Linked DNA regions of Xenopus tropicalis. The main gene of each other region encodes a partner of the protein of the gene in region 3 in a complex. Links are inferred from orthologs where the notes say so. Each region holds a gene or a part of one and is shown on either strand. Other genes may lie near its edges.

Region 1 (9,608 bases), about 60 Mb from region 3:
TTACCTATTACAGTTTTGCATGAACATCTACTTTGCCAAAACAAAATTAGAACCCTTTGATGGCTAAATGAATAAAAAAACACAAACTGTACAGGAAAAACTATAAATAACTGAGAATTTAAATACTATTTTAGAATATATAAATATATATATATATATATATCCTAAGTGCATAGCCAAATGTGTGCTATATGTTCTGTATATTTAAGTGCAACAGCACCATATTTTTATCACTACTTGGTGGTTGATTTGCGGTTATGTGTGAATGCCCAACAGACAAGAACACATTCCAATCAGCAATGAAGAGTTTTGTATGCAACACTCCAATATTCTCATAATTGACAGCATTTTATGGGCGGGGCTAAAAAATAGCTACTTATGAATTGCATTCCTTTACAAAGCATCTCAAATATCAATTAGTTATACAAAAGAAGAAAACAAATTTTAAACATGACAAAATCTAGTGGTACCTCATTTTTTTTCTTTGATAAGGGGTTAAATACATATTTACAGGACCGGACTATCAAATGTGCTTATTACCACATATTACCACAGTGATTAGAGCCTGAGCCTAACCTGGCATTTTCCACAAATAGTACTTTATGAGTTCAAGTAACTTTAAACATTAGTTGTCTGAGATACTACATACAGTAGCACTGCTCCCTGAGGCTTCACAAAGTTTTGTATAACAAAAGGTGTTAACGTGGCTGGAATAAAATCAAACAGGGAGATTTCTTGCTGCATTCTCTGGAAAAAATAATTTTTTCTCTTAAATTACTTGCTTACAGCATTTATTTGGTTTTGTTTTTATACAACCAGCAGATATTTGTCAGAACAGCATATGCCAGCAATAAAATATGACTTTTGAATAAAGCTAAAAAGTATACGGAAGGACAATTTTACTTATAAAAAATGTAATGAATTTGTCCTGTACACTTTGATCCATACTCCCCTATAATTTTTATATAAAGCTATGATATTGATATATATATATTAAAAGGCGCTGTATTCAAGACAATATGTTATGCATCACAGTATTACAGACATTAGCCAGAATACTGCCATATTATTATAGAGCAAGTACATCAAAACACATTCAAAAGAAAAAATATACCCTATACACTGTATTTTGTCTGCTATTTAGTTTTTTTAAATAGATAGCTACATTTTTATCCATCCTTCCTTTGTATACTCACATTGACTTTGTTCATATAAACAGGAGTGGAAATATTGCTTGTATGTGTTATTTTATTATCAGAGAACAGCAATACTAATTAATAACCTCTAGTCACGTTCTGCGTATGCAGCCACCTTTCATAAATATTCAGAAGGAAATGGTTTAATATGCTGTAACTCACATTTTCTAGTCTCTTTTCTATAAGCAGAGTTTATTCTTTATTTATAAGTGGTGTTTATTATCAGACACCCCTATATGAATGTGTTCCCTTTAAAAGGCCTACAACAACTATTCAAGTTAATATGTTTAAATACATTTTATAACATTTGTAAATATCATTTTAAAAGTTCTAGTTGTACAGTGTCCTACCCAACCTTGTCATGTATTTCACTGCATGCAATTCATTTTTAATGTAAGCCATTTAGCCTATTGTATCTCTGAATAGACTCTGTAATTTGATATTTGTGGAAGACCATGTATATAATCAAAGCATTATCTGAAGTGATTTTTTCTTTTAAAGGTGGCCATACACCACGCTGACATTATCACACGAAAGACGAGGCGACCGATATCAGTCGCCTCATTGATTGGGCAGGACTGAAAATTTTGACTGGGTGCTTTTGAAGGTGCCCAAAAAAACGTAATGTTAATGCTGAATCATCAGATAATGGGAATACATTACCTTGCTTTTACCTGTATATTTGCCAATTCAGCTCTTAACGTTAATAGAGTAAACAAATGATCGTTCCTACACTCAGTGGTCGTGGGAAAGATCATAATTGTAGAGTGTATGACCAACTTTAGCCCCTATTAACCTGACACATCTATAAAAGTGGCTCCTCTATATAAAGCAAATTATATATTATTTTGCTTTCCATTAAAGGAGAAGGAAAGGTAAAGCTGTATTCAGAAAGGCCTAAGTAAATAAAGCCATAAACGCTTACAGAAAAGCTGCTCTGAGTCCTCTATCAAAAGAAACACAGGATTTCTTTTCATCTTTTGCGTATACATGTTCTTCTGTGTCAGACTTCCTGCTCTCAGAAAAATCCTTCAGGGCACGGCATAAGTCTGCTCAGTTTGCTCCTCTCTCCCCCTCCCAACTGTGCTGTGTAATCCGAGCTACCAGAAGCCAGAGCTGCAGCACGGAAGTTACTGAGACCAAGCTTAAATGGCAACTGCTATCTAAAGCAAACAGAGGGAGATTCTAGGGCTGTTTACTCGGGTATGGAAACGTTTTCTACAGAATAAATATAGCGTTCTAGCTTGCACTATTGTGATTAATCTATTGGCAATAAAATTTCAAAATGCCTTCGCTTCTCCTTTAAGGCCTGCTGAAAACCTCTGCAGCAATCCATAAAACATTCTACTGATTTAAACCTAATATACTAAATTAGGAGCAAGAACACTGCGCCAAAACATGTTTCTCACATTTCTTAGTCACTGCAAGCTTTCCAAGGAAACAGTGAAGATCAAAAACTGCCCATTAAAAGAAACAGGCACACCAGGAGGTAGTACCCAGTTCACTAGTTCGGTGGCCACACACAGTCAGCTTTGCATTTTCTACTAATTGAAGTGATCAGTATAGGTTCCAGTTTTAAGTGATTTCTCTGAGATGATTGTGGAAATTAAAGTACCTAATTAAACACAGTTTCAAACTAGACTCAGCAGTACTCTTGGAACAATAATCCTTCATTCACATATATAGACCTAATTATGGCAGAATGATATACATTTACTTACTGTGTATTCAGTGCATCTTTAAACATTGTAGAGCCAGCTTGTATCAGACTTATCGTGGTAACTATCCCAAAAACCCTTTGTGTTTAAATTTTAAGTGCACGCTAATTTATTTGGTCTTACATTATTGCCCATGAGTAATATCTCCCATAAAGTAATATCTTATGTTTCCATGTTGCTGATGTATGTGTTGATCCGTGTTTCTAGTATGTTTTGCCAATTAATGCCTTCACTTTTGAGCAAAGAAAATGCAGGCCAATCAGAAAAACTATTTGTGTTTCTTTTTTTAAGCAAGTGTTTTCCTCGTGATTGTCAACCGGTTAACTAACAAAAGCAGAAAATGCCCCTAAGTGCTCTTGTCTTACTGACCAGCCGAACCTTACTACAAGTCAGGCCCATTAGAGAAAATCTATACCCCTGAACAGTGTAGGTCTCTATAAAAATATATTGCATAAACAAGCTCATATGTAAAACTCTGTTTCTGTTTCTAAATTAACCATTTTCATAAAAATATACTTTTAGTAGTATGTGCCATTGGGTAATCCTAAATAGAAAATTGCCATTTTAAGAATTAAGCGCTTCCACTGGTGCACACACAAGCCACATACATGTTAGGTTACATCAGCCAATTAGTGCACAGAGGTCTTTTACTCCCACACTTCTTTCTGTTATAAATAGAGCTGCATTATTTCCATTCAGGTGATCTCTGAGGGAGCACTTAGCCCATAACAAAATGGTGGCTCAAGGTAAGAGATGTAAAAGGGCAATATTTACTGATGTATATACCTACTCCAGTTTGGCAAGATTGTTTAATAGGTCACTTTACATGAATGGTTAGGTATTCATTCTGGGGGTATAGCTTTGTCCCTATTCAGGTCAGTATTTGCATATTTAGGGGTTATATAATATAAGGTGCGAATATTGCTACAGACTGAATCACCTATAGTAACCAATCAACAAGCAGCATTTACTGGTTAAATTCACTGTTTAAGAAGCAAACATCTCAATGGTGGCTATGGTTTACTGCACCTGGGAATTATCAGGGGGTACCTATGTTAACTAATGTTACAGATGTGCCAATTAGAAATGAATAGTAGCACACACAAAAAGAGCCCCACTGAGAATTCATAATGGTAATTAAACACAGTTAATACTGGTGGATCGTTTCATGGTTGCTAGGTGTGCATTCTGTATATACACAAATCTGTCTGTAAAACTCTTATTAGGGAAAATAAAACTGCTTTAACACACTTTTCATAGAGTCCCACAGACCAGAAGCATTCCTCAAATGAGTACAATTTAAGGATGCAGTCCATATAAAACCAAAACTGACAGCTAATTCTAATGGGAAGGATCATCCCGTGTGGAGTCATTGGCTTGTTTCAGTATCTTCCAAACTATTTTTTCTAGTTCCTTCCTTGACTTCTGCTCTTCATCCAAGCATTGTTTCATTCTTTTGTTCTCCTTTGGAATACAAAATCATCAATTTCTTAGTTAAAACAATAAAATGACAATAAAACAATAAAAATAAAAAACCAATAAACAGGCAAGACTGGAGTAAAGAAACTTCTGTACATATAGCAACTATTTATCACCCTATATGAAATAACCTATTTATTAAGAACAAAGCTGATATTAGTGCAACATGAGACCCATGGCGCCTTTATTTTTTTTCTCCCATTTCATAAGGATGGGGACAGTATGTGCCAAATACATTAGCTTTATAATTCTGCTTTCCTATGGCTTATTGTATAGTGTAATTTTAAAATTCCTCTTCCCAGGCCCAGGCGGGCAATCTGTACCTTCTGGCTAATCACAGAGGGGCTGCTGTAAGATGCCATAGACGGTCATTATTTATTGGGCTGGTAGAGGGCTGTTTGGCCTCTGTGTACTTGTTATGCCAGGGCCAATTTTGAATCTCAGTCCAGACCTGCCTCTTCCACTTAAAATAAACAGCAGAGATCATGGAAGGGCAGGGTAACTGGGCTCACAATCTCCACATGGATGGTTGCAAGCATGTCATGCTACTCTGGTTCACTGAGGGACAAACAAAATGAATGCTACATACATAGGGATTTTCTCTTAAAAAGAATTTGCAAATGCCACCAAAGAATAACATGGTATAATGCATATTTTCACCTGTTTAAGCTCCATGACTTCATCTCGTAATGCATAAACTGTATCTACAAGGCTCCTACAATAAAGTGTAGATAGATAATTAATACCAGAAGCATAGTGCATTTCCACAATACAAGCACGACCTTATTGTATTTCAACACTGCAATTTGCTTTGAAAATTAGTATCCCCTCTCTAAGAAAGTCAACAAAAGAATAATCATTCACATGGCTGAACACAAAGAACTTCACATTGTGCTGAAATTCCTTTTTTTAGCTGTATGTATTTACATATATATTTATTTATTGACTATTCAGTAATACATGCAGTCCTTATTTTATAGGCTTTATGTAATGCTCAGTCATTTTTATGTTTGTTCCACTGAAATGCAAAGGCAAAAGGCTGAGAAAATAAGCCCATGGAAGATATTGATAGATTTAGATGTGGTATTTAGAGGCACTTAAAAATGAATCCATGCTGGCAGTAAGAATCTTACTATAATTTTTAAGCCCAACTTACTTTTCTTCTGAAACTGTTTGCCCATTGGTTCTCAGCTCATCAATTATAAGATTTTCTTCCTCAAGTAGCAACACTTGTGCAACAGAATCTTTGCGTGAACCTGCGGAGAAACAAACTGCTTTACATTTCCTATCTGAATAAGAGGGAATAAAGTGTGTATCTGGGAGCTGTGCATAGATATTCTGGCCTATTCTTATAAAACTGGAAAGCCACACTGCCTTGTTTCCTGCAGTAAATGAGTCACCTCTCTTGCCTTGCCATGACTGCATCTTTCAAAGAAAGCACCCTGAGTTGCCTAGTAGTTTACAAAACAACCTCATGGCATGGCACAGTGGCTCACAGTCACCGATCATATAATTTAGAAATATGACATCAGATAATTCCAGAATCAATAAGTTACATTTAAAAAAAACTATGTAAAGATCCATCATAGAAAACCATGCTAAATTCAGCATTAAAGTCTTAAGAATGACTAAGGAGGGATTTGCTGAAAGAAAGGAAAAAATGGATGGTATGCAAAGGTTCTAACAAATTATATGCAAAAATGGAGAAATTAAAAAATTGAGAGTTGTACCGAGGATAAGAGATATACAATTTTTTTGGCTCTAAGGATTTGGCTTAGTGTAGTTATCATTCTAGCTAAACAGCAGTATACACTTGAGAGTACCTGAACTAAGGAAACCAAAGACAGATTTATCATTCTGAAACAACATATGACAATGAGATGTAAATTAGAGACTTGTCTTTGCAATCTCTTCTATAAATGCTAATCGTGGGGGATGACTAAGCCCTGTGACTGATGCCCAGGCCAGGAGGCCCTTTTCCTACTTTGAGGGTGGTGCCAGCCTATAAAAAAAATACAGCCAGAGTTAAATAGTAAGGACCACTATATGGGGTTTAACTTGACATGGTATGATGGCTAGGCAATTATATGATAATGAAAACCCCCTGTTTTTGAAAATACATGCACTATTACATGCATAGATACTAAACTGAAACAGGGGGACCAGAGAATGTAAATTGATCAATCCCCTCCCTTATGTGTGTTAATTAGAGAACCTGAAATAGGAAATCCATTCAGATCAACATGAAAATGCCCTTACAGAAACCTGCTCTGAATTTAAATAATTAACAAGGGTCTTGTAGCAGAACAGAGCAGAAGAGATTGCGCATTCCATCATTTTAACAGAATTTGTCATTCTTCTGAGGTACATTTTAGCAGCTCTCACTTACAATAACCATATGCAGTGCAAAGATGACATTCATAATTAATGGCAATACAAAGGACTAGACACAAAATGCATGCAGTGATATATTAGTCTAATAATGTGGAAGGTGGATGCCATAGGTTCTGAAGTCGGTGTCATGCAAAAGTGAATTTCTATAAACGAATGCTGTAGAAATGTAGAAAAGACAGCCCTCTAAAACACATGTATAGGACTCCCACAGCAGCCTGCATTAACAACACACACACTTACTCCTAAAGTATTGGGTAAAGATGGAAGTTTGATGCCATGTGGTGGAAATTATGACATTCCAACACCGTTTTTTTGAGCAATTCGTCTTAACAACATCAAATTACATATTTGATGAGGTGGTGCCACCTCACATCCGCAATTATGCTCAAACTATGAGAAAAAATGCTGCATCATGCGTAAAAAAACATGGCAACTTGCACCCAAAATTGCACACTGCGTTTGTGCTTGTAAAGAAACCCTATATATTGTTAGTGGAACGCATATTGGTGAATATCATTTAGATATTGATGCAGGGCTATATGGCCATACGTATTGCTAGAGGGTCATGTTGAATTAAGGAAAGACAAACTTTAATGTATGCAAAAAAAGTATGATTAGCAAGATTTGATAAAGCACCAAGCTGTATATTCTCCTGAAAGTATCAAGAGTATGCAATACACCATTCTACATATAACTGCATTTGTAATAAAATATTATTTTATACAACTGCCAACTGTATTTTACAAATAAGAATTTAAAAGAATTCTTTCCTTTCAGTCACATATAGGGTTAGGAACGAGAACAGTTGCTCAAGGGGTATATAGGGCTGTTAGCTGTGGCACAACAGTTTTTTGGATAAAACAAGTAATCTATGATTTGATGAGGCTTTAGTGACCATTAAAGGACAGCCTCTTTGAAATCTTTCAATACCTGCCACACTGGTTGTCCAGAGGTTAATAGTAAGGCTGCAACATCCCCTTAATCACTTAGATTTCCTTCTCCTCCTGTAACCCACTCGGCCCCCTCCCTCAGGAATTTGCTTTGGCTGTTGGCTTGTGGGCATGCTCAGTTGTTCTAAGCTCAGATTACTACACACACCCTCCAGTCTAGCAGCCAGTGAAGAGATGGCATTGCTGGTTCCCATAGAAACTCAGCTCTAGCTGTCTGCTTCCATTTTTTTCTCCTGACCTCAGCTTTACCATTACAGTGCTCAAACAAAGCAGAACTTTTATCAGAGACAGTTGTGCCTGTGTGAGCCTGCATTGTTGATGAAATGTATGCTGAATAAGGGTCTGTGTGTGTATAATGTTTGCAGATTTAAATCTATCTGATTATGTATCAGAGGGAAAATGGCCACCGGGTGAAAGCTGCTATTTGCTTTAGGAAAATGTGATGGTGCTGGCAAGCGGAGGGCATATATGCAGTACAAATGATGCCATTTGGGTGGAGGAGACATGCCCAACTGATATATATTGTAGGCAAATGTAGGCTTTACATGTCCTTTAAAGGGACATTATACTCGCTTGTCCAACTTGAATGCAATTAATAGGGCTTGTGCTAAACATACTCTTTGACTTTTGTTTTAATCACAAAAAACTGTTTTGTTATTTCTTGGGCTAAACAGGGCAAACAGGGAAACTGAAACTACTCCATACTTGGTCCTTGCGAGGTAGCTAATTAGATTACCATTACACAACCCCTCTCTTCCAACTGGTGGGACTGTTGTGTTGGCAGGAGTATTATTTATGCACTGGTAATCTAATTATCTTATCTAATCTTACCTTTTTAGCTATTTAGTTTAAGAAAGAACTTAAATAACTTTTTAGTATGACATAGACAGTAATATCCCTGTCTGTATGTGTGAGTATGCTGGTGTAAGGGACTGTAATTTTATATCTTGCAGCTCTTTTAGGTAATGGTGAGAGATATCGAACACATAAAAGTTATAACTACTGCTGTGATTACACAAGAAAAAAAAAAAAAAGAAAAAAGCTGCATCCCTCTAGTTGCCAAAACTGCTGATGAAAAGATATTCTTGCTTCCTGTGTATGACACAAACAAGCAGATTAAAATCTGTCTTGCTTTTGTAGACAAAAGAAACTTTCTCCTAGTTAACCCTTTTACATATGCATGTCTTCTCTATCAGTTCAGTTTAAGGAATGCTTGAAAAATATTAAAGGGATTCTGACATGATTTTTATGGTGTACTTTTTTTTTTACACTCTTTAAATGGCAAATAATTCACTCTACCATTTAATATTTTTTTCTACAAATGTTTTTTTTTAGATGTAATATTGGTGTGTAGGCAGCCATCTCAGTGCATTGTGCCTGAGTCTGAGCTTTTAGAAGGAGCCAGAGCTACACATTAGAACTGCTATGAGGTAACCTATTGTTTCTTCCACTCCCACGTAATTGAAGTAGTCATGAGCCGGACTTGGACTTTTTACTATTAAGTGTTTACAACTTTTAGCAATACTGGTGTCAGGGAGCTGATTTTTTGTTACATTCCCATTGTGCTGCTGATTGGCTGCTGGAAGGGAAAGGGAAGGGTGTAATATCACTCCAACTTGCACCGCAGCAGTAAAGAGTGATTAAAGTTTATCGAAGCACAAGTCACATGGCTGTGGCACCCTGGGAAATGAAGAATATGGCTAGCCCCATGTGAAAGTTCAAAATTAAATAAGATTTCAATGCAGGATTCTGCTGGAGAATGATGTGTTTTGAAAAAAAACATGTTTTCCCATAACAGTATTCCTTTAATACTGGAACAATGCAGTTATATTTATAGCTTTACTCCTTTGGAGCATAAGAAAGCATGACCC
Region 2 (10,756 bases), on a different chromosome or scaffold from region 3:
TCCCTTCCCTGCACTGCTGGTTCTGACTCCTGATACAACTCCCCAATATCCATTCATTCCTCATTCTCACTGGGTTTATAGTTATGTGTAACTGTCACTGTGTCTGTCCCTTTCCCTGCACTGCTGGTTCTGACTCCTGATACAACTCCCCAATATCCATTCATTCCTCATTCTCACTGGGTTTATAGTTATGTGTAACTGTCACTGTGTCTGTCCCTTTCCCTTCCCTGCACTGCTGGTTCTGACTCCTGATACAACTCCCCAATATCCATTCATCCCTCATTCTCACTGGGTTTATAGTTATGTGTAACTGTCACTGTGTCTGTCCCTTTCCCTTCTCTGCACTGCTGGTTCTGACTCCTGATACAACTCCCCAATATCCATTCATTCCTCATTCTCACTGGGTTTATAGTTATGTGTAACTGTCACTGTGTCTGTCCCTTTCCCTTCCCTGCACTGCTGGTTCTGACTCCTGATACAACTCCCCAATATCCATTCATCCCTCATTCTCACTGGGTTTATAGTTATGTGTAACTGTCACTGTGTCTGTCCCTTTCCCTTCCCTGCACTGCTGGTTCTGACTCCTGATACAACTCCCCAATATCCATTCATTCCTCATTCTCACTGGGTTTATAGTTATGTGTAACTGTCACTGTGTCTGTCCCTTTCCCTTCCCTGCACTGCTGGTTCTGACTCCTGATACAACTCCCCAATATCCATTCATCCCTCATTCTCACTGGGTTTATAGTTATGTGTAACTGTCACTGTGTCTGTCCCTTTCCCTTCTCTGCACTGCTGGTTCTGACTCCTGATACAACTCCCCAATATCCATCCATTCATTCCTCATTCTCACTGGGTTTATAGTTATGTGTAACTGTCACTGTGTCTGTCCCTTTCCCTTCCCTGCACTGCTGGTTCTGACTCCTGATACAACTCCCCAATACCCATTCATTCCTCATTCTCACTGGGTTTATAGTTATGTGTAACTGTCACTGTGTCTGTCCCTTTCCCTTCCCTGCACTGCTGGTTCTGACTCCTGATACAACTCCCCAATATCCATTCATCCCTCATTCTCACTGGGTTTATAGTTATGTGTAACTGTCACTGTGTCTGTCCCTTTCCCTTCTCTGCACTGCTGGTTCTGACTCCTGATACAACTCCCCAATATCCATCCATTCATTCCTCATTCTCACTGGGTTTATAGTTATGTGTAACTGTCACTGTGTCTGTCCCTTTCCCTTCCCTGCACTGCTGGTTCTGACTCCTGATACAACTCCCCAATACCCATTCATTCCTCATTCTCACTGGGTTTATAGTTATGTGTAACTGTCACTGTGTCTGTCCCTTTCCCTTCCCTGCACTGCTGGTTCTGACTCCTGATACAACTCCCCAATATCCATTCATCCCTCATTCTCACTGGGTTTATAGTTATGTGTAACTGTCACTGTGTCTGTCCCTTTCCCTTCCCTGCACTGCTGGTTCTGACTCCTGATACAACTCCCCAATACCCATTCATCCCTCATTCTCACTGGGTTTATAGTTATGTGTAACTGTCACTGTGTCTGTCCCTTTCCCTTCCCTGCACTGCTGGTTCTGACTCCTGATACAACTCCCCAATATCCATTCATCCCTCATTCTCACTGGGTTTATAGTTATGTGTAACTGTCACTGTGTCTGTCCCTTTCCCTTCCCTGCACTGCTGGTTCTGACTCCTGATACAACTCCCCAATATCCATTCATTCCTAATTCTCACTGGGTTTATAGTTATGTGTAACTGTCACTGTGTCTGTCCCTTTCCCTTCTCTGCACTGCTGGTTCTGACTCCTGATACAACTCCCCAATATCCATCCATTCATTCCTCATTCTCACTGGGTTTATAGTTATGTGTAACTGTCACTGTGTCTGTCCCTTTCCCTTCCCTGCACTGCTGGTTCTGACTCCTGATACAACTCCCCAATACCCATTCATTCCTCATTCTCACTGGGTTTATAGTTATGTGTAACTGTCACTGTGTCTGTCCCTTTCCCTTCCCTGCACTGCTGGTTCTGACTCCTGATACAACTCCCCAATATCCATTCATTCCTCATTCTCACTGGGTTTATAGTTATGTGTAACTGTCACTGTGTCTGTCCCTTTCCCTTCCCTGCACTGCTGGTTCTGACTCCTGATACAACTCCCCAATACCCATTCATCCCTCATTCTCACTGGGTTTATAGTTATGTGTAACTGTCACTGTGTCTGTCCCTTTCCCTTCCCTGCACTGCTGGTTCTGACTCCTGATACAACTCCCCAATATCCATTCATCCCTCATTCTCACTGGGTTTATAGTTATGTGTAACTGTCACTGTGTCTGTCCCTTTCCCTTCCCTGCACTGCTGGTTCTGACTCCTGATACAACTCCCCAATATCCATTCATCCCTCATTCTCACTGGGTTTATAGTTATGTGTAACTGTCACTGTGTCTGTCCCTTTCCCTTCCCTGCACTGCTGGTTCTGACTCCTGATACAACTCCCCAATACCCATTCATTCCTCATTCTCACTGGGTTTATAGTTATGTGTAACTGTCACTGTGTCTGTCCCTTTCCCTTCTCTGCACTGCTGGTTCTGACTCCTGATACAACTCCCCAATATCCATTCATTCCTCATTCTCACTGGGTTTATAGTTATGTGTAACTGTCACTGTGTCTGTCCCTTTCCCTGCACTGCTGGTTCTGACTCCTGATACAACTCCCCAATACCCATTCATCCCTCATTCTCACTGGGTTTATAGTTATGTGTAACTGTCACTGTGTCTGTCCCTTTCCCTTCCCTGCACTGCTGGTTCTGACTCCTGATACAACTCCCCAATATCCATTCATCCCTCATTCTCACTGGGTTTATAGTTATGTGTAACTGTCACTGTGTCTGTCCCTTTCCCTTCCCTGCACTGCTGGTTCTGACTCCTGATACAACTCCCCAATATCCATTCATCCCTCATTCTCACTGGGTTTATAGTTATGTGTAACGGTCACTGTGTCTGTCCCTTTCCCTTCCCTGCACTGCTGGTTCTGACTCCTGATACAACTCCCCAATACCCATTCATCCCTCATTCTCACTGGGTTTATAGTTATGTGTAACTGTCACTGTGTCTGTCCCTTTCCCTTCCCTGCACTGCTGGTTCTGACTCCTGATACAACTCCCCAATATCCATTCATCCCTCATTCTCACTGGGTTTATAGTTATGTGTAACTGTCACTGTGTCTGTCCCTTTCCCTTCCCTGCACTGCTGGTTCTGACTCCTGATACAACTCCCCAATATCCATTCATTCCTCATTCTCACTGGGTTTATAGTTATGTGTAACTGTCACTGTGTCTGTCCCTTTCCCTGCACTGCTGGTTCTGACTCCTGATACAACTCCCCAATATCCATTCATTCCTCATTCTCACTGGGTTTATAGTTATGTGTAACTGTCACTGTGTCTGTCCCTTTCCCTTCTCTGCACTGCTGGTTCTGACTCCTGATACAACTCCCCAATATCCATTCATTCCTCATTCTCACTGGGTTTATAGTTATGTGTAACTGTCACTGTGTCTGTCCCTTTCCCTTCCCTGCACTGCTGGTTCTGACTCCTGATACAACTCCCCAATATCCATTCATCCCTCATTCTCACTGGGTTTATAGTTATGTGTAACTGTCACTGTGTCTGTCCCTTTCCCTTCCCTGCACTGCTGGTTCTGACTCCTGATACAACTCCCCAATATCCATTCATTCCTCATTCTCACTGGGTTTATAGTTATGTGTAACTGTCACTGTGTCTGTCCCTTTCCCTTCCCTGCACTGCTGGTTCTGACTCCTGATACAACTCCCCAATATCCATTCATCCCTCATTCTCACTGGGTTTATAGTTATGTGTAACTGTCACTGTGTCTGTCCCTTTCCCTTCTCTGCACTGCTGGTTCTGACTCCTGATACAACTCCCCAATATCCATCCATTCATTCCTCATTCTCACTGGGTTTATAGTTATGTGTAACTGTCACTGTGTCTGTCCCTTTCCCTTCCCTGCACTGCTGGTTCTGACTCCTGATACAACTCCCCAATACCCATTCATTCCTCATTCTCACTGGGTTTATAGTTATGTGTAACTGTCACTGTGTCTGTCCCTTTCCCTTCCCTGCACTGCTGGTTCTGACTCCTGATACAACTCCCCAATATCCATTCATCCCTCATTCTCACTGGGTTTATAGTTATGTGTAACTGTCACTGTGTCTGTCCCTTTCCCTTCCCTGCACTGCTGGTTCTGACTCCTGATACAACTCCCCAATACCCATTCATCCCTCATTCTCACTGGGTTTATAGTTATGTGTAACTGTCACTGTGTCTGTCCCTTTCCCTTCCCTGCACTGCTGGTTCTGACTCCTGATACAACTCCCCAATATCCATTCATCCCTCATTCTCACTGGGTTTATAGTTATGTGTAACTGTCACTGTGTCTGTCCCTTTCCCTTCCCTGCACTGCTGGTTCTGACTCCTGATACAACTCCCCAATATCCATTCATTCCTAATTCTCACTGGGTTTATAGTTATGTGTAACTGTCACTGTGTCTGTCCCTTTCCCTTCTCTGCACTGCTGGTTCTGACTCCTGATACAACTCCCCAATATCCATCCATTCATTCCTCATTCTCACTGGGTTTATAGTTATGTGTAACTGTCACTGTGTCTGTCCCTTTCCCTTCCCTGCACTGCTGGTTCTGACTCCTGATACAACTCCCCAATACCCATTCATTCCTCATTCTCACTGGGTTTATAGTTATGTGTAACTGTCACTGTGTCTGTCCCTTTCCCTTCCCTGCACTGCTGGTTCTGACTCCTGATACAACTCCCCAATATCCATTCATTCCTCATTCTCACTGGGTTTATAGTTATGTGTAACTGTCACTGTGTCTGTCCCTTTCCCTTCCCTGCACTGCTGGTTCTGACTCCTGATACAACTCCCCAATACCCATTCATCCCTCATTCTCACTGGGTTTATAGTTATGTGTAACTGTCACTGTGTCTGTCCCTTTCCCTTCCCTGCACTGCTGGTTCTGACTCCTGATACAACTCCCCAATATCCATTCATCCCTCATTCTCACTGGGTTTATAGTTATGTGTAACTGTCACTGTGTCTGTCCCTTTCCCTTCCCTGCACTGCTGGTTCTGACTCCTGATACAACTCCCCAATATCCATTCATTCCTCATTCTCACTGGGTTTATAGTTATGTGTAGCTGTCACTGTGTAACACTATAGCTTGTTACACTTACAGTTCACACACACCTACCCCGTCACTTTGCCCCTCCCTCCATAACAGACCCTTCCATCCCAAACCTAACTCTCCCCTCACACAGCTGGTTTCCCCCACTTCCCCCCCCCCCCCGCTCCCATGGTCCCGCCCGGTGCCACTCACCCACTCATTGGCTTTGGGGCTGAAGCGATAGAGAGCGACGTGCCCGGTCACATCCACTATGTTACTGATATAGGGGTCAGACTGCCGCAGCGCCGCTAGACTCATCTCTTGCCCAGCCTTCTCCCGAACCGCCATCTTTCCTAGCGGAACAGCAGCGGGCTGGAGTGGGGCTCACACCTTAAATGTCCGCCAGCTCCGCAGCCCCGGCACAATGGTTCCTACCAGCAACGTTCCGCCCGCTCCGAGCTTCCCTATTGGTGCAACCAGAAATGTGGTCTGAGCAAGAAACAGAAGGTTTAGGGGAACTTTATTTTTACCATGGGTTTTGTTGACATATAACTTGTACACCAGCCTAGGGGAAACATAACTTTGAGTCTTGTCTAAAGTTGAGTAATAACTTTAGTGTCAAGGGACCCTGCCATGATGTTTATGGGGCTGTTTATCTCTAAATGACCCTGTTACACAGCAAATAATTCCCTCTGCCATTTAACCTTTTATTCTTCAACCAACAAATGTATTTGTAGCTGTAATATTGGTGTGTAGGCGCCATCTCAGTGCCTTGTGCCTGAGTCTGAGCTTTCAGCCAGCGCTACACATTAGAACTGCTTTCAGCTAACCTATTGTTTCTCCTACTCCCATGTAACTGGAGGAGTCCCAAGCCGGACTTGGATTTCTTACTATTGAGTGCTATTCTGATACCTACTGGGAGCTGCTATCTTGCTCCCTTCCCATTGTTCTGCTGATCGGCTGCTGGGGGTGAGGGGGGGGGGGATATCAATCCAACTTGCAGCGCAGCAGTAAAGTGTGCCTGAGTCTGAGCTTTCAGCCAGCGCTACACATTAGAACTGCTTTCAGCTAACCTATTGTTTCTCCTACTCCCATGTAACTGGAGGAGTCCCAAGCCGGACTTGGATTTCTTACTATTGAGTGCTATTCTGATACCTACTGGGAGCTGCTATCTTGCTCCCTTCCCATTGTTCTGCTGATCGGCTGCTGGGGGTGAGGGGGGGGGGGATATCACTCCAACTTGCAGCGCAGCAGTAAAGTGTGCCTGAGTCTGAGCTTTCAGCCAGCGCTACACATTAGAACTGCTTTCAGCTAACCTATTGTTTCTCCTACTCCCATGTAACTGGAGGAGTCCCAAGCCGGACTTGGATTTCTTACTATTGAGTGCTATTCTGATACCTACTGGGAGCTGCTATCTTGCTCCCTTCCCATTGTTCTGCTGATCGGCTGCTGGGGGTGAGGGGGGGGGGGGGGATATCAATCCAACTTGCAGCGCAGCAGTAAAGTGTTCCTGAGTCTGAGCTTTCAGCCAGCGCTACACATTAGAACTGCTTTCAGCTAACCTATTGTTTCTCCTACTCCCATGTAACTGGAGGAGTCCCAAGCCGGACTTGGATTTCTTACTATTGAGTGCTATTCTGATACCTACTGGGAGCTGCTATCTTGCTCCCTTCCCATTGTTCTGCTGATCGGCTGCTGGGGGTGAGGGGGGGGGATATCACTCCAACTTGCAGCGCAGCAGTAAAGTGTGCCTGAGTCTGAGCTTTCAGCCAGCGCTACACATTAGAACTGCTTTCAGCTAACCTATTGTTTCTCCTACTCCCATGTAACTGGAGGAGTCCCAAGCCGGACTTGGATTTCTTACTATTGAGTGCTATTCTGATACCTACTGGGAGCTGCTATCTTGCTCCCTTCCCATTGTTCTGCTGATCGGCTGCTGGGGGGGAGGGGGGGGGATATCACTCCAACTTGCAGCGCAGCAGAAGAAGATAAGAAATCCTGTGTTTCTTTTGATAGAGGACTCAGTGCAGCGTTTCTGTGAGTGCTTATGGCTGTATTTACATAGACCTTTCTGATGAAGCTACTGAGGTTTTAGCTTTCCTTCTCCTTTAAACACCAGCTCTACTGATGCCAAGTGCTGATTAGTTGTTATCAGTCACTAGAACTGGGGAAACATTTTCATTACCCCTTGTGTTTCATACAGAGGCGCAGGGCAATATAGTCACATCTCCCAAGTCAATTCCAGCCCCAAACCAAATATAACAGGTATCTGAACCCCCGCTGATATACACTGAGGCGGCAGATGATGCTTTACAGAAACATAAGGAGTGTTTTGGTTCAATAAGTTCTGCTTACCTTGCAAAAAGTTTCCCCAACTCCCCTAGATTGCCAGGGCTCCCCTTTATTTTACCCTCCGCTAAGCTTTGCCCAAGGGTGCGCTAGAATTTGCCCATAGATATTTGCTTCCCCCTTTAGAACGTTAATCCCGAAACCCAAGAGGTGAAAATGGGTCCCGTGCTCTCCTGATGTCGCTGGGAGGATTAATAATTGATTGGGCAGCTCCTAGATACAGTGATCTGGTGCAAACAGGTAATTCAATGCCCTAGATCCATGAGTACCAGTGTGAGTTACCTCTGGCCCTGCCCTGGGTGCTGATAACTGTCTGTCTGCCTGGGGAAGAATGACTGTCCCCATTGTTGCTATGTCTGTCTGAGCCATGATCCAACGTCTGTCCTGTTAAGGTAAGGAAGTTGCCTTTATTCCTATGTAGGGTAACAGAATCAGGGTGGGTGAGAAACAGGTATATAACTGCCTGCATTAAAGCTTTTACTGCTTCAGCTGTCTTCTGTTGTCGTTATAATGTCCTGTTTATATCCCATAATCCTTTATATCCTACTATTTTTTTTTCTTTTGTGCATTTCCACATTTTTTCAAATCAGCCATAAAGCAGAACAGGACTGCTGCTTGGAGGGGATCAGATAGGATTTGTGCCACTGTGACAGAATGCTCTGTTATACAGATAGCTAGAATCTCAGCCATAAAGCAGGGCAGGACTGCTGCTTACAATGGGGGGGGTCAGATAGGATCTGTGCCACTGTGACAGAATGCTCTGTTATACAGATAGCTAGAATCTCAGCCATAAAGCAGGGCAGGACTGCTGCTTACAATGGGGGGGATCAGATAGGATCTGTGCCACTGTGACAGAATGCTCTGTTATACAGATAGCTAGAATCTCAGCCATAAAGCAGGGCAGGACTGCTGCTTACAATGGGGGGATCAGATAGGATCTGTGCCACTGTGACAGAATGCTCTGTTATACAGATAGCTAGAATCTCAGCCATAAAGCAGGGCAGGACTGCTGCTTACAATGGGGGGGGATCAGATAGGATCTGTGCCACTGTGACAGAATGCTCTGTTATACAGATAGCTAGAATCTCAGCCATAAAGCAGGGCAGGACTGCTGCTTACAATGGGGGGGATCAGATAGGATCTGTGCCACTGTGACAGAATGCTCTGTTATACAGATAGCTAGAATCTCAGCCATAAAGCAGGGCAGGACTGCTGCTTACAATGGGGGGATCAGATAGGATCTGTGCCACTGTGACAGAATGCTCTGTTATACAGATAGCTAGAATCTCAGCCATAAAGCAGGGCAGGACTGCTGCTTACAATGGGGGGGGGGATCAGATAGGATCTGTGCCACTGTGACAGAATGCTCTGTTATACAGATAGCTAGAATCTCAGCCATAAAGCAGGGCAGGACTGCTGCTTACAATGGGGGGATCAGATAGGATCTGTGCCACTGTGACAGAATGCTCTGTTATACAGATAGCTAGAATCTCAGCCATAAAGCAGGGCAGGACTGCTGCTTACAATGGGGGGATCAGATAGGATCTGTGCCACTGTGACAGAATGCTCTGTTATACAGATAGCTAGAATCTCAGCCATAAAGCAGGGCAGGACTGCTGCTTACAATGGGGGGATCAGATAGGATCTGTGATTGCAGAGATATGGTTGGAATGTGTTGTGATTCTGTTAATGAGGTGTAAATAAACACAGTATAAAAGCCCAGCAGAGGGTGATACTACAAGCCAGCGACTCCCTGTTCACCCCCTGGAGCATCTTTATTACCTGCATGGTTCCTGCCCCAGCAGTTGTACTGGTACCAGAACCTGTATGAGTCGTGTAACTGTATATTGGACCCCTATTAACTCAGAACTCATTTACCTCATGAGCTTTAGGTTTAAAAGCAGCAGTCTCATCTGACAGCCCCGGCCCCTCTGTTCTGCCCCTTTAGTTCTCCCACTGTGTCAGTACCTGTCTGTATTCCCATGTTGCCCACGCAGGGCCACACCCTAGAGAATTACCCCATTGTTCTTTGGGCAGTGGCCCTTACAGGAGCCCAATGGCAGCCCAGTGAGTGGGAATAATGGAACCGTTGGAAGCTGATCCAGTACAAACCCATCAGGCCCCGTCTCAGGTTACTCCACAAATATTTCTTCTTTGTGTTTTTGTAGTACAGACAGCCTGTATTAACCCTCTCAGTGCCAGGGAGGATAATCATTCCATACTCTGAAAAGGGGTGAGCGTGTCAGTGGTACATTGTCATTGCAGCCCAGTGGCTAATTGGTACCTTAAATCCTCTCACTATTTGTAATACATTGTCCTGTTCTTCTACTACTTACATTTTTATGCTGTGTGCTACTCCTTTACTCTCTTACTCCCCCTGTACTACTCCTTTACTCTCTTGCTCCCCCTGTACTACTCCTTTACTCTCTTACTCCCCCTGTACTACTCCTTTACTCTCTTACTCCCCCTGTACTACTCCTTTACTCTCTTACTCCCCCTGTACTACTCCTTTACTCTGTTACTCCCCCTGTACTACTCCTTTACTCTTTTACTCCCCCTGTACTACTCCTTTACTCTCTTTCACCCCCTGTACTACTCCTTTACTCTCTTACTCCCCCTGTACTACTCCTTTGCTCTCTTGCACCCCCTGTACTACTCCTTTACTCTCTTGCACCCCCTGTACTACTCCTTTACACTCTTACTCCCCCTGTACTACTCCTTTGCTCTCTTACTCCCCCTGTACTACTCCTTTGCTCTCTTGCTCCCCCTGTACTACTCCTTTGCTCTCTTGCTCCCCCTGTACTACTTCTCAACACCCTTGCTCCCCCTGTACTACTTCTTTCCGCTCTTGCTCCCCCTGTACTAATTCTTTATGCTCTTGCTCCCCCTGTACTACTCCTTTACTCTCTTACTCTCCCTGCACTACTCCTTTACTCTCTTACTCTCCCTGCACTACTCCTTTACTCTCTTACTCTCCCTGCACTACTCCTTTACTCTCTTACTCTCCCTGCACTACTCCTTTACTCTCTTACTCTCCCTGCACTACTCCTTTACTCTCTTACTCCCCCTGTACTACTCCTTTACTCTTTTACTCCCCCTGTACTACTCCTTTACTCTTTTACTCCCCCTGTACTACTCCTTTACTCTCTTACTCCCCCTGTACTACTCCTTTACTCTCTTACTCCCCCTGTAC
Region 3 (10,930 bases):
AGAAGAACAAGTCATTCGCTGCTAAACTGATATTATATCCATCCCATATCTGTATTGGTTCCACTGGTTCTTGGAGCTGTGGATGGAGAAGGAAGTCCTGCCCCACCGATACCCCCCAGATTTCAATCAGGCAGGTTGACAAATTCCGTCGGGGCAAGGGGTGCATCGGTGGGTTGATGTGGTCCTAGCCCTGGTGGCCTGCATCCTATCAAAGTTGGCTTAGGGTTCCACTGGCTGTCCAGGTCAAAACTGCCTGGACATTAGGAAAACCAGGCAGGACTCTCCAAGATTGATATGGGGATCAGCATTGGTCATGTCATAACCCCACCCCATGATGTTGATGCCCCACCTTCATTATGTCATTGTCCCACCCTCTGTAATGCCACCACCTTCCCCCTGCCCAGTGTTAGCAGCGGGTAAAGGTGGCAACCCTAGTTTGGCCGAGGATCGGATCAATCCGATATCGCCTACCCCATTGTTTTTGTTATTTAATAAGCCAAAAAGGGAAACTGAAGCTCCTCCATGTTTGGTCCTTGCAAGGTAGATACATTTTCTGTAGTCATCTATTCCCTTCACTCTTTGTTGCGACTGTTTGTTAGCAGGAGTTCATTATACAGGGAGATTATTTCTGCGCTGAGAATCTAATTATCTCCCTTACTACGGCCAACACTGAGTAGCTTTCATTTCTAGGGAGCTTGTCCAACTTGGCCTTGGTCTTTATGCTCCTCCTCCCACCCAGCTGACTGTGACATCACTTGCAGTACTGGGCCAGGTTTGGGTCAATGGGCTCAGGCAATTCAAGGTGATTAGGTAATATTATAAATGTTGGGTTCAGTGTAGGCCTGGCCCACAAGTACACAAGAAGAACTCGTGGTGGGCCATGGTTTCATTGGCTATTCCTTTTCAACCAACCATTTGTCTTGTATGTTGAAATCATGGGCATTCATCATCCATATATGAAAACAAGAAGAAATGTAGGCCTGGCCTACCGGTTCTCAAGAAGAAATCATGGCGGCCATGGTTTCATTGGCTAAATGTTGGGTTCAGTGTAGGCCTGGCCCACAAGTAGACAAGAAGAACTCGTGGTGGGCCATGGTTTCATTGGCTATTCCTTTTCAACCAACCATTTGTCTTGTATGTTAAAATCATGGGCATTCACCATTCATATATGAAAACAAGAAGAAATGTAGGCCTGGCCTACCAGTTCTCAAGAAGAAATCATGGCGGGCCATGGTTTCATTGGCTAAATGTTGGGTTCAGTGTAGGCCTGGCCCACAGGTACACAAGAAGAACTCGTGGTGGGCCATGGTTTCATTGGCTAGGTGTTGGGTTCAGTGTAGGCCTGGCAAACCAGTTCACAAGAAGAACTCATGGTGGGCCATGGTTTCATTGGCTAAATGTTGGGTTGAGTGTAGGCCTGGCCTACCAGTTCACAAGAAGAACTCATGGCGGGCCATGGTTTCATTGGCTATTCCTTTTCAACCAACCATTTGTCTTATATGTTAAAATCATGGGCATTCATCATTTCTAGATGAAGAAATGTAGGGGAGGATAGATGACTATATGGAAGAAGTGATGAAGAGAATAAAGAAAGTGATTGAAAAGGGACAGAAAAATTCGGCCTGTGGTCAAAGGTTTTCTGGTGGACCCCTGGCATAGGGTTGCCACCTATAATACCAGCCTTTGGGTTGGGGGAGGGCCGTGACATTGTTTTGTGGGTGGGGTTAGGAAGTAGAAGGTTAGGAAAGGGGGCAATGTGTAATACTGGTGCTGGCTGGTTAAAAACCACCTACCCGAGCCCCCCAGTCCGACACTGCTTGGGTAGAGTCAATGGAAGGCTCAACCTACTCCCAACTGGTACAAGCTAATTGTTTAATAAGATAACGAGCAACATGGTGAGCATAACGTTACAGGGCATAACTAGAAGAAGAAGATACTGGTCCATCTACGACTTTAGCCTGGACTCTCACCGAGCCCTCTGTATTTCTGAGCTCCCAATCAAACTAGTCACTCTGTTTCTTTTGGTTGCCCCTGCTTAATAGCAATGGGAAATATATGGGCATTAATATGTGGCTACATCCCTTCATATATGGCCGAACGACCATGACCAGGTGTAGCCACCAACCAGGGATGGTCCCATCAGACTTTCCCCCAACGCCCATGAAAGCAACGCAGCCCCGAGAGCTGACAGGAGAGGATGCAAATCCCATTATTGCGCCCAGCTAATCGTGCCAGTTCCCAGGCAGCTGTAAAACGCGTGGAAATGACATTTGTAAGTGAAGCTCCTGAGACACAGAGCGATAACCACTTCTCCTGGAGAGCTTAAGTCTCTCGTTGGCAGTCACTTCCAGCAACAACGCTCCGTTTCATTTCATCTGTCTCTAAAGTCTTCATCCTATTGTTCCCCCCATTGCAGAGCCGTCTCCTCCGAGGCTCATTAATATTTGAAGCGTGGAGGATTAGGTGAGGTGGAGGAGCACTCTATAATCTCCCGGAGTAGGATGTCGGAGAAGTAGGAGTAGGATGATGGAGAAGTACATATACGGCACGGGCAAGCTGAGCGGCATCATGGGCTAGTGAACTGGCCGGCCTGGGGACTGTGTAACTGGCATAGCCATGTTTATACATCTATGGGGTGTCATCAGAAACCTATGTTAGATGCCACCAGCTGGTTTTTAGCATTGTCCACAATGGTGCCTAAGGCAAATAGTAGGGTTCTAGGCTGACGCAACTCTCAATATTGTCCACTTTCTAGAAGTTCAACCCTACCTGTTTCCAACAAGCATGAAAACCTAACCCACCCCTCCCGTGTATAACTGTCAGAGTGATACCTAGACAAACCCACCAATATGCTCTAGAACCCCGGCAACTCTTGGACGAGTTCCCCTGCCAGCTGAACAGTTGGACTCGATGGACCCAATATGGGCTCCTAGTCTTCTTGTGTTGCCCTCCTCTCTAGCTGTGGCCCTGCATGAACCTTGACACATCTACCCTTGAGATGCCAACGTCTCCATTCCCTGCTGCTATAGTTCTTCTGCTGATATCCAATGGGATTACAGGGAAAACATGTGAAAGTCCCATGGGTGCACTTAAGGGAGGGCAGCCCAAAAATAGATTTTCCTTCTGGCTGGACAGAATATTTATCCTGGCCCAAATGCAACCCACAGTGGCTCCTATTGCTACAAAGCTCACACAATACTCCGGAACCTCTAGAACTGAAAAACATAAGTCGCTTCTTCCCTCTCGAGCCCACTTAAGTTAATTTTAGAGACCATTATTATATTCATTAGCTTTTTAGGGCAGTTTTGCCACATTTGGAAGACGGCGGATCCCAAGGGGGTTAACCCTTTACAACAGACATTCTTTCCCAACCAATTACTGGTTGGAAAATATTTAAAGGGACAGTGTAGCAAATATGTTTTTTTAGAAGCACTAACTATACCTTCAGTGGGAAAGTTTGGTTAACAGCAATTAAAGAAAAAGAAACAAATGCAAAAAGAGTTGGGGTTCAACACATGGGGGGTACATAATAAGGGCTGTGATTGGTTATTTGGTAGGCCCTATGTGGGCTGGCAGCCTATTGGAGGCTCTGTTTGGCAGTACAACTGTTTTTTATGCCTCCAAACCTGCTCTGAGGCCACTGGGAGCAACATGCAAGGGGTCGGTAGGCAAAATATTTGAGAGCCACTGGTTGGGGAACCCTGCTAACATAGGAACATCAGGAACGCAAGTTGAGGTGAACGGAACTTAATTTGCATCCAGTTTTGGATTGGGGTGTCCAGGGCCCACCAGGTCTGCCATCTAGGGGCCACAGCTGGAAGCTGCTACACTCAAAGTCAACCCCCTCCACCCCAGTGTGTACTGGACTTCTCCTTGCAGTCAGTGTCGGACTGGGAACCCAGGGGCCCACCAGAAAACCTTAGACCCCAGGCCCTCTTTCCAAACTATTTTTCCTCCTTTCCTCACCCAACCTCTTTATTCTCCTAATCTCTTTACTTTACATGCTAGCATCTATTCCTCCATCTATTTCTACTCTTTGTTCCCATTCAGAAATAGGGAATGAGCATGAAACAGGCCAAATGGTCAGGAGCAGGAGGGCCCACCGGGAGTTTTCCTGGTATCCTGGTGGGCCAGTCCGACACTGCTTGCAGTTCCACTAGGGCCAGGGTCCACTGGGACCCTGTATGCATCCACAATTACACTGGAATTCTGGGCAATACACTGCATTGTGGTCTGCTCTTTATGCTGCCTTCATATTTGAGACTTACTTACTGAGCATGTGCAGTGCCCCCGGCACCAGGGAGAAGGTACGACGGCCAGTAAACAGAAGCACAGAAGTCAATGACGCAGTGTCTGTGTGACTTTTATAATTGCACCCCCCAGCATTCAACAGATACACGGTCGGCCCCAATCTAGACTGGGAAACATTGTGCATACACAGGCCTAGGTGCCGGAGATATAGAACAAGGATACAGAATAGATATAGAATTTAGTACGAGCCTGTTCCCATTTGTAGGAATTTCTGTACCGGGTTATAGGAATCAAGCTCCGACCAGCACAAAAGAGTGGAGAATGTACAGGTGGGGGGGTTGTTTGGGTGACAGATAGAAGTCTGCACACTGCCAGCAGGGGGTACAGTTCTGATAGGTCACTTAAGGTCCCCACACACGTTAAGATTCACTCACTTGGCGAGATCGCCAAGCGAGCGGATCTTCACCCGATATCCCCACTTACGGGTGGGCGGTATCAGGGAGCGTGTAGGCCAATTCGATCGTTTGGCTCTGGGGCCAAACAATCGAATTATATTGGCGGCAATGGGGCAGTCGGTTTGGGGACCGCATCAACGAGCCAATGTGGTCCCCGATCCGACTGAATTTTCTAACCTGGCCAATCGATATCTGGCCAATCGATATCTGGCCAATCGATATCTGGCCAATCTCAGGCCAGATATCGGCGGGCAGGCCCCTCGTTCCTGCCCCTACACGGGGCAATAAGCTGCCAAATGACCAATATCAGCAGCTACAATCGGCCCGTGTATGGGGACCTTTACAGTAAGGATTCCTAACAATCAGGGTGGTTAGGGGAATACTTTGCCTTTACTATCACAAGGAACCACAGGAAAGGTTAATTACCCCGTCTCGCCGGTCTGTTCCGACTCCTGGAGCGGCTGCGCTGCCTCTGCAGTTGGGATCGACCGATTAACCTGTAGTAATAGCCGGGCCGGCCAGAACCCCTCCGGCCGTTCAGAGACATTTCAGCTTCTTTGGCACCACTTTCTCCAGGACAAGGGGACTTGCAAGCTCCGTCGCACCCCCCCCCCCCCAAAACTTTTATCCAGTTGAAGCGGTTTCAAGGGGAAATAAACCTCACAGAAGAGGGAAAAAGTTTGCAGCTCCTGGCAGGCATAGCTCCGTTACCGGGCAGAGGGTTTCCCGGAGATAAGGGCTTGGAAAGAGTCCAGGGCTGGAATGGAGTGAATTGGGAAATCTGTCAGGGTTGGAGAAAAACAAACACACATCCGCAGCCTGGTGAGACTTTCACACAATGAGAGAGCTGTGAGCCGGAGCTTTTATGTGCAGCACTTACACGGCTCCCCCGGGGCAACAGCCATGTCCCCCCCCAAATATGGAGCCGGAGAGTGACCCCCGGGGTACAAGTGATGTGCGCCTAATGTTCCTCGCGGGGTGTAACGTGAGAATTTGCTGAAAGGAGACGCCTTAGTGAGAAGTTTGGGTGCATTAAATACTTACCCCCCCGGGGGGCAGTTTCCTCTCTGATTACATAATGAGAGAAACATGAATAGGGAAACAGATCAGCCGCCCCTCACCTGTCTCGCTTTTATCTAGGATTGGCCGGGGGGGGGGGTATCTGCCCGTGTCCTGACGGGGGGGTCTTGGGGAGCAGCAGGGGTTTATTACTGGCTAAAGGAGGATTCTGGGAAATGTAGTCTGCATCTGCCTTACTGGATCTCTAGTAGGGAGAGGGTTTTTTGAAGATGATGGAGAATGCCCTAAGCAATGGGGGGCAACAGTGGGGGGACTCAGCGAAAACAGTTGGCAGGGTCGGACTGCGGCGGTGGGACACAGGGAAAGCCCGGTGGGCCCCACCGCCCAAGACATGGTCCCTGCCAGTGCTCCCCAGGGCTGTCGGTCTGTGGGCATGTAGCCCCTGCAGGGGGTTAAAGGGATGCGGCAGGGGCCCCTGCAGGGGGTTAAAGGGATGCGGCAGGGGCCCCTGCAGGGGGTTAAAGGGATGCGGCAGGGGCCCTTGTGGGGGGTTAGGGGGGATGCGGCAGGGGCCCCTGTGGGGGGTTAGGGGGGATGTAGCAGGGGCACCTTGGGGGGTTAGGGGGATGCAGCAGGAGCCCCTGCGGGGGGTTAGGGGGATGTGGCAGGGGCCCCTGTGGGGGGTTAGGGGGGTGTAGCAGGGGCCCCTGTGGGGGGTTAGGGGGGATGTAGCAGGGGCCCCTGTGGGGGGTTAGGGGGATGTGGCAGGGGCACCTTGGGGGGTTAGGGGGATGTGGCAGGGGCCCCTGTGGGGGGTTAGGGGGGTGTAGCAGGGGCCCCTGTGGGGGGTTAAGGGGATGTGGCAGGGGCCCCTGTGGGGGGTTAGGGGATGTAGCAGGGGCCCCTGTGGGGGGTTAGGGGGATGTGGCAGGGGCCCCTGTGGGGGGTTAGGGGGGTGTAGCAGGGGCCCCTGTGGGGGGTTAGGGGGATGTGGCAGGGGCCCCTGTGGGGGGTTAGGGGATGTAGCAGGGGCCCCTGTGGGGGGTTAGGGGATGTAGCAGGGGCCCCTGTGGGGGGTTAAGGGGATGTAGCAGGGGCCCCTGTGGGGGGTTAAGGGGATGTAGCAGGGGCCCCTGTGGGGGGTTAAGGGATGTAGCAGGGGCCCCTGTGGGGGGTTAAGGGGATGTAGCAGGGGCACCTTGGGGGGTTAGGGGGGTGTAGCAGGGGCACCTTGGGGGGTTAGGGGGATGTAGCAGGGGCACCTTGGGGAGTTAGGGGGATGTGGCAGGGGCCCCTGCGGGGGGTTAGGGGGATGTAGCAGGGGCCCCTGTGGGGGGTTAGGGGGATGTAGCAGGGGCCCCTGTGGGGGGTTAAGGGGATGTGGCAGGGGCCCCTGTGGGGGGTTAGGGGGATGTGGCAGGGGCCCCTGTGGGGGGTTAGGGGGATGTGGCAGGGGCCCCTGCGGGGGGTTAGGGGGATGCGGCAGGAGCCCCTGCGGGGGGTTAGGGGGATGTGGCAGGGGCCCCTGTGGGGGGTTAAGGGGATGTAGCAGGGGCCCCTGTGGGGGGTTAAGGGGATGTAGCAGGGGCCCCTGTGGGGGGTTAAGGGGATGTAGCAGGGGCCCCTGTGGGGGGTTAAGGGGATGTAGCAGGGGCCCCTGTGGGGGTTAGGGGATGTAGCAGGGGCCCTGTGGGGGGTTAAGGGATGTAGCAGGGGCCCCTGTGGGGGGTTAGGGGATGTAGCAGGGGCCCCTGTGGGGGGTTAAGGGGATGTAGCAGGGGCCCCTGTGGGGGTTAGGGGGATGTAGCAGGGGCCCCTGTGGGGGGTTAAGGGGATGTAGCAGGGGCCCCTGTGGGGGTTAAGGGGATGTAGCAGGGGCCCCTGTGGGGGGTTAAGGGGATGTAGCAGGGGCCCCTGTGGGGGGTTAGGGGATGTAGCAGGGGCCCCTGTGGGGGGTTAGGGGGTGTAGCAGGGGCCCCCTGTGGGGGGTTAAGGAGATGTAGCAGGGGCCCCTGTGGGGGGTTAGGGGATGTAGCAGGGGCACCTGCGGGGGGTTAGGGGGGTGTAGCAGGGGCCCCTGTGGGGGTTAGGGGATGTAGCAGGGGCCCCTGTGGGGGGCTAGGGGGATGTGGCAGGGGCACCTTGGGGGTTAGGGGGATGTAGCAGGGGCCCCTGTGGGGGGCTAGGGGGATGTGGCAGGGGCACCTTGGGGGGTTAGGGGGATGTAGCAGGGGCCCCTGTGGGGGGCTAGGGGGATGTAGCAGGGGCCCCTGTGGGGGGCTAGGGGGGTGTAGCAGGGGCCCCTGTGGGGGGTTAGGGGGATGTAGCAGGGGCCCCTGTGGGGGGCTAGGGGGATGTAGCAGGGGCCCCTGTGGGGTGCTAGGGGGGTGTAGCAGGGGCCCCTGTGGGGTGCTAGGGGGGTGTAGCAGGGGCCCCTGTGGGGGGCTAGGGGGATGTAGCAGGGGCCCCTGTGGGGGGTTAGGGGGATGTAGCAGGGGCCCCTGTGGGGGGTTAGGGGGATGTAGCAGGGGCCCCTGTGGGGGGCTAGGGGGATGTGGCAGGGGCACCTTGGGGGGTTAGGGGGATGTGGCAGGGGCACCTTGGGGGGTTAGGGGGATGTAGCAGGGGCACCTTGGTGGATGCGGGGACCCCTGGGGCAGCAGGTTGGGTACCCCACAGGTTTCCCTCAAAAAAAGCAGATACACTGGGGCTATGGGTAGGATTTTTGGATGCGGGTATAGATGCAGGTTGGAGGTCTTATCCATATATCTTATATTACCTATATTATCAATATGGGGGAGCAACCGTGGGGCACGATCCCTGCTGGTCCTACCCCGGGCGGCTGGTCTGTGGGCATGTAGCGGGGGCCCCTGGGGCAGCCATGCACCCCCTAGTCTGACCCTGGGTGTTGGTTACCTCCAACTGTATGTTAGAGGAGCCCAGGGTCCGACCCCTTCCTGGGCATTCATATCGGATACTTACCTAGGTGCAATTGGGGGTGGGAGGTCAGTTAAGGGAGCGCCGACAAGGATCGGGTCTGGGTCAGCGGGGCCCATGGGGTTTTCTCCCAGTCTGACCCTGGGGGAGCACTAAAAATATTTTGGTGAGGAACCAAAACCCCCGACTAAGTGCTGAGGGGCCCAGTTACTTGTAACCCCACCCAGCTTCAACTCCCAGCAACCCCTGACAGCCCTTGGCAACCACCATCACCTGACCCCATCTTGCCTCCCTATACCCGCTCTCCCCCATTCTCTGCCCCGGTTACAGACCCCGCCTAGTCAATAGGTAAATCCGCGGGGGGGGCTAATTAATTTCCTTCCCCCTCTCCATAAAGCAGTTGTTCTGCCTCACGCGTTTCGCTCTCTCCCTTGCCCTTTACAAACTGCAGAGAGCAATAAAGCACGGGATTAAGATCCATGTCGGGAATCATGGCTGCTCCAGCTCAGGATCAAGTGCCATATATTTATTATATATACTGCAGAAGCCAATAAAAGGCTCAGGGTCCCCGGGGGCTGCACACAGGGGGATGGGGGATTCGCAGTGACATTCCCAGTAAAATAAGCGACAACTGCTCACCGTGGGTATATTATATTATATAAATATGTGTGTATGTATGTATAATATATATATATATATATATATATATATATATATACACACACATATACATATATACACACACATATATATATATATATATATATATATATATATACACACACACACACATATAGCTAGAGGAAGCAGACCCCGCTTTAGAGAACCCCCGGTGAGCCCTGCACCCCAAAGTCGGAGCCGGAGCTTTTATGTGCAGCACTTACACGGCTCCCCCGGGGCAACAGCCATGTCCCCCCCCAAATATGGAGCCGGAGAGTGACCCCCGGGGTACAAGTGATGTGCGCCTAATGTTCCTCGCGGGGTGTAACGTGAGAATTTGCTGAAAGGAGACGCCTTAGTGAGAAGTTTGGGTGCATTAAATACTTACCCCCCCGGGGGGCAGTTTCCTCTCTGATTACATAATGAGAGAAACATGAATAGGGAAACAGATCAGCCGCCCCTCACCTGTCTCGCTTTTATCTAGGATTGGCCGGGGGGGGGGGTATCTGCCCGTGTCCTGACGGGGGGGTCTTGGGGAGCAGCAGGGGTTTATTACTGGCTAAAGGAGGATTCTGGGAAATGTAGTCTGCATCTGCCTTACTGGATCTCTAGTAGGGAGAGGGTTTTTTGAAGATGATGGAGAATGCCCTAAGCAATGGGGGGGCAACAGTGGGGGGACTCAGCGAAAACAGTTGGCAGGGTCGGACTGCGGCGGTGGGACACAGGGAAAGCCCGGTGGGCCCCACCGCCCAAGACATGGTCCCTGCCAGTGCTCCCCAGGGCTGTCGGTCTGTGGGCATGTAGCCCCTGCAGGGGGTTAAAGGGATGCGGCAGGGGCCCCTGCAGGGGGTTAAAGGGATGCGGCAGGGGCCCCTGCAGGGGGTTAAAGGGATGCGGCAGGGGCCCTTGTGGGGGGTTAGGGGGGATGCGGCAGGGGCCCCTGTGGGGGGTTAGGGGGGATGTAGCAGGGGCACCTTGGGGGGTTAGGGGGATGCAGCAGGAGCCCCTGCGGGGGTTAGGGGGATGTGGCAGGGGCCCCTGTGGGGGGTTAGGGGGTGTAGCAGGGGCCCCTGTGGGGGGTTAGGGGGGATGTAGCAGGGGCCCCTGTGGGGGGTTAGGGGGATGTGGCAGGGGCACCTTGGGGGGTTTAGGGGGATGTGGCAGGGGCCCCTGTGGGGGTTAGGGGGGTGTAGCAGGGGCCCCTGTGGGGGGTTAAGGGGATGTGGCAGGGGCCCCTGTGGGGGTTAGGGGATGTAGCAGGGGCCCCTGTGGGGGTTAGGGGGATGTGGCAGGGGCCCCTGTGGGGGTTAGGGGGGTGTAGCAGGGGCCCCTGTGGGGGGTTAGGGGGATGTGGCAGGGGCCCCTGTGGGGGGTTAGGGGATGTAGCAGGGGCCCCTGTGGGGGGTTAGGGGATGTAGCAGGGGCCCCTGTGGGGGGTTAAGGGGATGTAGCAGGGGCCCCTGTGGGGGGTTAAGGGGATGTAGCAGGGGCCCCTGTGGGGGTTAAGGGGATGTAGCAGGGGCCCCTGTGGGGGGTTAAGGGGATGTAGCAGGGGCACCTTGGGGGGTTTAGGGGGTGTAGCAGGGGCACCTTGGGGGGTTAGGGGG

What was found.
Region 1: dab2ip (region 3) and arhgef6 share a complex: the UniProt entries of both Homo sapiens proteins name them as parts of the cytoplasmic complex. The link is inferred for Xenopus tropicalis from reciprocal best matches to the Homo sapiens genes DAB2IP and ARHGEF6.
Region 2: dab2ip (region 3) and dcp1a share a complex: the UniProt entries of both Homo sapiens proteins name them as parts of the cytoplasmic complex. The link is inferred for Xenopus tropicalis from reciprocal best matches to the Homo sapiens genes DAB2IP and DCP1A.

The regions. Positions count from the first base shown.
Region 1 is NC_030684.2:69,142,398-69,152,005, forward strand, and holds the end of arhgef6 (rho guanine nucleotide exchange factor 6), read right to left. Parts: intron 5,650-9,608; coding exon 5,550-5,649; intron 5,109-5,549; coding exon 5,054-5,108; intron 4,379-5,053; coding exon 4,256-4,378; 3' UTR 3,699-4,255; downstream 1-3,698. UniProt on the Homo sapiens protein: Acts as a RAC1 guanine nucleotide exchange factor (GEF).
Region 2 is NC_030680.2:150,710,941-150,721,696, reverse strand, and holds the start of dcp1a (mRNA-decapping enzyme 1A), read right to left. Parts: upstream 5,621-10,756; 5' UTR 5,563-5,620; coding exon 5,428-5,562; intron 1-5,427. UniProt on the Homo sapiens protein: Necessary for the degradation of mRNAs, both in normal mRNA turnover and in nonsense-mediated mRNA decay. Removes the 7-methyl guanine cap structure from mRNA molecules, yielding a 5'-phosphorylated mRNA fragment and 7m-GDP.
Region 3 is NC_030684.2:9,044,613-9,055,542, reverse strand, and holds the start of dab2ip (disabled homolog 2-interacting protein), read right to left. Parts: upstream 5,525-10,930; 5' UTR 5,254-5,524; coding exon 5,133-5,253; intron 1-5,132. UniProt on the Homo sapiens protein: Functions as a scaffold protein implicated in the regulation of a large spectrum of both general and specialized signaling pathways.